Linked DNA regions of Tribolium castaneum. The protein of the gene in region 1 purifies or fractionates together with the protein of each later gene. This does not show direct contact. Links are inferred from orthologs where the notes say so. Each region holds a gene or a part of one and is shown on either strand. Other genes may lie near its edges.

Region 1 (3,108 bases):
AATTTTTGTACTAAATCCACCCAGCCAGTAAATGGTCTAGCTTCAATGATCGCCTCTGCCTTCTTTTTTGAACAGAAACTCATCAATTGGAGCTCGCTTTCAGTTGCCGTTTGCATGAATTCAAAAACTTTCCTCTTGTCCCCGGTTAATTCATCGCTAATTTCGACGTCCGAATCCTCGTCACTGTCAAACACGCGACGGTCTTTGAAGTCCTGATTGCTGCCAGTGCTGTCGTCCGTGTCGTCATCGGACTTCCGACGTTTAACTACAAAGAATTATTTTTTTTTACCAGAAATAGCTGCTTGAAAATTGCTTGACCGCCAAAAAAAGACACGATTATAAAAGCGAGATTTTGCAAAAACAAGTTTCTCAATTAACGTTTTTTTTTTCCGGGCTTTATCTTGTTAAGCTAGTTACATTTTTTCCGTTTGTTGTAGGGCGCGCTCTCAGGGGAGGGTTTCCTCTTGCCAGTGCTTTTCACCAGGCTTTCGGGATTGTTTGAAGTGTTCGCTTCCTTCCACTTGGCGTAACCTTGCGAATTGAATTCGACAGCGTGACACCTGGCCAACTCCGACGCCGCTTCGTCTACTTTAAACCCATGACGAGACAGCACATCGTGAATAACCTAGATTAAAAACGCCACTTAAGGAAACTAATTTCATGCTCCAGTACCATAGCATCAACATTCGGGAATGACGACATTAAATACTTCATCTGGTTCTCCTTCTCCAAAACGGCCGGATTCTTCATATTTTTCGAATTGGGGACAATGACAATATTTGGTTTTGGAGTCACCGCAGATTGAGAATTTGTTCCAGAACTATCACAGTCGGAATCAGAATCTGAAAATGCAATTATTCGGCGCCTCACAGCCCCATTGGATGCTGGAAACAATGTTTAACAGTTTATTAATTAAAATGAACTTGGTCTTACCGGAGCTAATTGCACCGTTGTTACTGTGGTGACTTAACGTCTTTTTTTGTATTCGGAAATCGCGCAAATTTAATAACGTGGGGCTGCCGTTCTCTGACATTGCGCCAGTTACAATTTTATAAATAACATAAAATATTAAGTATAAAACTACAAAATCGTTCTCATTGAGGCACCAGACACCTTTGACAGACGATGGTGGAAGAGTGGGATTATTGCCGCTCACAGGTGGCAGCAATGAGGCAAAAGCGCAAAATTCGCGCAAGTAATTTAAAACCAACTCTCATAAACTAATAAATAATAAATTTCCCGAAAATACAAAGTCCTCTACCCAACGTTAACTGCAATAACCACAAAAACGAAACTACGACTTACAACACTTACAAGTTAATGGTTTTAAGATCAACAAACACAAAAACGTAAAAGGTGACTTACCGTTAAATTATTTAACGCATTTATTGTAAATAAACACCAGTTGAAGTAAAATTGGTTTTTTTTGTGTAGCGTCTTAAAACAATGAAACGTAAAATTAATCCAAAGCACACTTTTCGTACTTCAATTCATTGTCATTGGGGGCCATAGAGGCTCATTTAGTGACTTGGGGCTAGTAAAATTCTTAATTCTATGCCATTTCTCTAGTAATGGGAACGCAATTTATTTTTTTGCGTTAACCTAAACATATAATTTAGTTTCGCGGCTTTCAAGATTGACAGTCGACCGGACGTCGTAGATGTCGCTGTGTGTTTCCGCCTCTCGACATTTGCTGACATTTAGGCCAAGTTTTTGAATAACAATATTTGCAAAAATGTCCGGTTTGATAAAAAGCGTGCGCGTTTTATCCCGAAATTCGAGTTATTTACGAGCTGTTGCGATTAGGCCACTGACTGTCATTGCCAATAAACACAAAAATTATGACCAGCCCCCGGTTACAAGCAGCTCAGTATTTGCACCCCTTAGCCAGGTACGTCCAGTTTGTCCGATTAGCGGTTGCATTTCCGTTCAATTAGGGTGATTTGGTGGAAAAAAGTGCGTTTTTTGTGATTACATAACTTCTAACCTCACTTTATTAGATGCGATTCTACTCGCCTGAAGTAATTCGGACGAAACCGACTGAAGAGGAGATAAAACAGAGAGTTTTGAAAGTTTGCGCGTCTTATGATAAAGTAACCGCCGACAAGGTACTACATAATTTTCTATTTCAGAGACTGGTTTTGCCACTTGAGCGATGTTACAGTTCCAAGCCACCGTTGACTTTAAAACTTATCACAGACCGCGTCCTCTTGGTATTAAAACTGTACGATAAAGTCAATCCAGACAAGGTACGGTAATTTTGCACTTTGTGGCACAGTCTCTGGAATGATCCTGACGGACGTGTTACGATTGACTCGTTTCAGCTCACGCTAGACTCACACTTTATTAATGATCTGGGGCTTGATTCCTTGGACCATGTGGAGGTGATCATGGCCATGGAGGACGAATTCGGGTTCGAAATTCCAGACGGAGACGCCGAAAAACTGCTAAAACCCGCTGATATCGTGAGGTATGTTGCGGACAGGGAAGACATTTACGAATAGGTTTGTAGTAAAACAGTAGATAAGGCTTAATGTTGTGTTTGTTTTGGCACTGATTTGCCAGAATTGCACCATAATGTAATTTGATTTGTTAATAAAGCGTAAATTTTAACTGAGTGTTTTCATTGTATTACATACGCTATTTTTCTACCAACTGTCAAACGATCATTACATTCCCATTGGTCGTGAATTGTCACGTGCTCGTCATAATGCACTCGGATTGGTCAATGAAAGACTCAATATGAATAAATCTTTATTAAACCTCCTTTGAAGTTGATGCATCTCCGGAACCATCATAATTCATATCACAGCTACTTTCTGAGTCACTATAGTTGGTGAAATGTAACGAGATCTTGAGCGTTTGTTGTTCAGAGTCGAGACAGCGCGGCCACTTGATCGGTATCAGCATTTTTCGTCGCTTGGACGACCATATGTTTTCTTTAGCCTTTCGTTTAGGGTCCTCATATTCTAAAGAAACAATAAAGCTTGGTTTTTATTAACAGTTAAGTCACCTTTCGGAAGCATCCAGAAAAAATTGTGTTCGTAGATTTTAGCTAATCCAGGGATGCTCTTGAACTGTTTGTACAATTCTGGATGTTTGATAATA
Region 2 (3,948 bases), on another chromosome or scaffold:
AGCCTTTGGACAGATGTATATGCCTTCCAATTAACAAATAACAGTTAATAACCGCAAACGTGCTGCGATTTTGCCTCTGACCTTTTCTACGATAATTACTTCGTATTTTTTTTTAAATCATTTTGAAAATGTTACTACCTGATGATAGTATCGATCTTAAATATGCTCTTGTAACTTAATCTTTCCTCTACTCGATTCTATCTCTTTTCTCGACACTTTAAACCAATTTGGATCTATTATACCAGATGAACCCAGTTTTGCTATGTATGGAAATAATTACAGAAGCTTTTACAAATACGTATTACAAACAAAATATTGATAGAAAAAAATTACATTTTTCCAACTCCCACGATTTGTTTTTAGAAAAATATTTGAGAAAAAAAAATTAAAAAAAAGATTCAAGAATGGATTGACAGAGAGATATGTTTATATGTGCCCTAGTTTTTTGTAAGCCAATTTATAAGATTTGTTATAATAAATATAAAGAAGCAAAATTGTTAAATATATCAAACAGACCACCTTCGGAGCTTGATGTACGTTTAGGGAACATACGAATTTTTTTTTATTAATTCATGATTGTTCCATAGTCTGTCTCTGAAGGCTCCACTATTTTTTTGCAACAACTGAATGAATAACATAAAATATAATTAATAAAGATTTTTAGTTAGTAGGTTCCAAACACAATTTAGTTTTTTTTGTATTTGAATTTGAACTTTGAAAAATTGATTCCGGTAATAATGGCATTGCTAAACTGGTAGCAGTGTGGGTAACTTGAGGTGAAGCGGCGATTGGGATCCTTGTAAAGGAAAAATGTTTATTTGGCCAGCTCTAATGATGGGTAATTGTTTAAATAAAGGTTATTTGCTTGTCTGTTAGCCGCTTAAATTAAAATAATAAACATGTTTTGAGAAGTATGATTTGTAGAGCATCAACGGAATATCCAGCGAGATGCAAGGATATAAAATAACGTGTATTTACGATGTCTGGCTGATGGGTATCAGTTGCACGCCATCTGCCATTTGATACCCCCATATCAGGTATCGCGTTCATGTTACACATCCATGTTAGGCCCGTGCTCAAGCCTACAACGCATTTAAATTTTAACACAATCGACACGAAAAATAATCAAAACGCTCAAGAAAAAAATATAAATAAAATGTATATTTATGATATTATATCGGATACATTCTGGCCCCCTCTTTCCCGAACGAACACATCAACAATGACGAAATCTATTTTTAAATCGACATTGTAAATCTGTATGCTTTTAAAATAAACCAGACTTGTTAATTAAACATCGCAAAATTGAACCCACCTTTATATCATCGTTAAGCACTTCCTTTTTAATCGTAACTTTCGCAATTTCTTCGGCGCCACTTTTTTCCATAAATGAAAACCAAATGTGCAAAAAGGCCAAAACCAAAAATTCAAAACGCACTACTGACTCAATAAATGACGGACAAAATCACTTTTCACATTAATACTGCGCCACTAGGAAAATTTCGATGAGAACTACAAGCTGAGCTTTTCAATAATGTTGTGATTATTTTGGTACTCGAAGTGGGGTATTCCCGCCACACTTTCAAATTCAAAACGCGCAAGTCTACCAAATGCGCAAGCGCACCAAAACCAACCCCAAAATTGTGTAATGTCCAAAATTGCAAAACCCGCCCTTAGCTTGAAACACGTAATCGGTTTCATATCCAAATCTTGAATAATTCCTATATTTTAGTTTATCTTGAAACAAGAAGTTAAGAATCTTTACAGGAAAATCTTCAGGGCTATACGGCAAGTGCCCGATCAGGGGCACCAGCAGGAGCTGAAGGAATGGGCAAGACGTGATTTCAGGAGCAACGCTCATCACACGGATGAGATAACTATTAAAATGTACATCAAGTACGGGGAAAGGTGTTTAAAGGAACTGGAAAATACCATTTCTTTGGCAAAATAGGTTGTGATTGAAATGAATACACTTGTTAGATAAAAAACGGTTTTATTCAACAATTTAATTAAGTCTAGTCCATATGACAATAACGCAGTGAATCACTAACAAGAGTGTGAAAGAAGCGGTCACAACGCCTGAAATAATCTTGATATGAGTGGTCCTCAAATGACTCGCGAATATTATGTGGAACAAAGTGTTCGTTATGTGCTGGCCGTCCATAAACAGACAGGGCAAGATATTAACTAGAGCCAGCCCCATTGAAAACATAGCTAAATACCCTAGAAATTTGGTAGTAACATCGGGAATTCGCGTCCCTAAAAACGAATATTTTGGGACGTATGAGGACACCGTCACTGTCCTCACAAGATCAGACACGGGCCCAATGTAGATAACGTCGTTTTTGTTGACTCGCTTGATTTTAAACAAATTCGTGTTATTCGTTAAAATCGGTCTGAAACAATAAGTATCTTTGGGGCAAACATGGGGGTCAGATATGCAGAAATTTGTCGAGGCTTCGATCGCAGGTCTTCCAGGCAAACAGGCGTAAGGGGGCAGCTCCAAAATGCTGTCTTTACTATCCAAGTACTCAAAACACAATTTGCCTTTATTCTCTGAATGGCAGCAGCTTACAATCCCACTTTCGGAGTGTTTCAAATGAACGCTCTCATCCAGATCGCGCACAACGTCGCCCTCAATACAAAACGCGGGCTTTTTTGTGCGTAAAGCCACTAAACATTTGTACCACGCATTTTCATCGTCCACCTCACAATCATTAATTTTCAAAATTAAATCGCCAACATTTAAACCCCTATTTCCGAAAATTGGCGATTTTGCCTCAAATTCCGTTACCACAACTCCTTTACCAAAGTTGAAAAACGGTGAAAAAACGGACGGTAGAGAAGTGTAGAGTAAGTAAGCTACGAGTGCAATTAGCAAGTTGTGCCAAACTCCGGCGCACAAAATCTTGAGTCTTTTCCAAGGATTTAGAGAAAATAATTTGTCGGAATTTAAGTTAACGTAAGCCACTGGCAAAATAAAAATTACGTTGGCGCCCACATTGATCACATTTACGTCTTCTTGCACAGCCCCTAACGCATGGCCTAGCTCGTGCAAAACCGAACTGATTAGCAAAGTTAAACTGTAGTAACCCATTTCGGATGCTGGAAGGTTTATTCCCGGGACTACCGGCTGAATTATGCTTTCCTCGCCACTTGCCGAAGACAAAAAGTTTTGGAAGAAAGCCACTAACAATAGGTAGATCGAAGCAGGCAGCAAAACTAAACTCACACATAGCCCCAAATTAAACCACAAATTAAGAAATTTCGTGTTGTGACTGCCCCACTTAAGCAGCAATTTATTAAAGGCTGTCGTGGTCCACGAAAACTGGAACAATTTGATCTCCAGGCCCGTTCCTTTAAGAAATTGGATGTATCCGTAATGAGAACATGACTAAAATTGTGGTTTTTAAGGGCACTAAACGTGTTCCGACTTACTTTAAAAAACCTGTCCATGAAGAGAACCCATAAGTAAATCGCCGCTATTGTCATTAAGCCAAAAATCAAGTCCATTTTTAAGTTTTTAACTCATTTTTCAAAAAATTATTAAATTTCCTAACCCCACATAATAGAGTGGTGGCTACCAACGCAACGAATTGATAAAATAAAAACCACCAAACTTTCAATTGTTTAGTCGGTGGAGTGGGTAAATTTTGCAAAAACTAGAATGGAACAGTCAGAATCGGAAAATAACACAGAACTGGGAGACAAAAAGTCCTACGCTGGAATCCCCGAAGCCGAATTTGTCGTAAGTGTCGAAACCCCGTCCACATGTTTTTCGAAAAAACGTAACCTCAATCCCGACCTTATGATTTTTCCTGTCTCAGGAAGATGTGGATGCGTACATGGCGCGGCCCGAAAACAACAAAAACGTGGAAGAAGTGTTGAAAAAATTAGATAACCAACATGCCAAGTATAAGTTTATGGAATATAATTTATTGTCGAAGA

The links.
Region 2: the proteins of ND-ACP (region 1) and LYR motif-containing protein 2 purify together in Homo sapiens (affinity purification with mass spectrometry; 3 studies listed by BioGRID and IntAct, counting the BioPlex papers as one, with this or other methods). This does not show direct contact. The link is inferred for Tribolium castaneum from reciprocal best matches to the Homo sapiens genes NDUFAB1 and LYRM2.

The regions. Positions count from the first base shown.
Region 1 is NC_087399.1:2,700,974-2,704,081, forward strand, and holds ND-ACP (mitochondrial acyl carrier protein 1), read left to right. Parts: upstream 1-1,694; 5' UTR 1,695-1,735; coding exon 1,736-1,891; intron 1,892-2,000; coding exon of another isoform or gene 2,001-2,108; intron 2,109-2,132; coding exon 2,133-2,249; intron 2,250-2,324; coding exon 2,325-2,504; 3' UTR 2,505-2,559; downstream 2,560-3,108. Other genes in the region: SWI/SNF-related matrix-associated actin-dependent regulator of chromatin subfamily A containing DEAD/H box 1 homolog, read right to left, coding at 1-265, 418-625, 673-884, 934-1,033; SPRY domain-containing SOCS box protein 3, read right to left, coding at 2,758-2,969, 3,014-3,108. UniProt on the Homo sapiens protein: Carrier of the growing fatty acid chain in fatty acid biosynthesis.
Region 2 is NC_087397.1:4,274,652-4,278,599, reverse strand, and holds LYR motif-containing protein 2, read left to right. Parts: upstream 1-1,512; 5' UTR 1,513-1,648; coding exon 1,649-1,687; intron 1,688-1,732; coding exon 1,733-1,951; 3' UTR 1,952-2,005; coding exon of another isoform or gene 2,006-3,394; 3' UTR 3,395-3,400; downstream 3,401-3,948. Other genes in the region: Sobp (sine oculis-binding protein homolog), read right to left, coding at 1,316-1,387; S2P (membrane-bound transcription factor site-2 protease), read right to left, coding at 2,006-3,394, 3,439-3,513; prefoldin subunit 3, read left to right, coding at 3,668-3,748, 3,828-3,948. UniProt on the Homo sapiens protein: Involved in efficient integration of the N-module into mitochondrial respiratory chain complex I.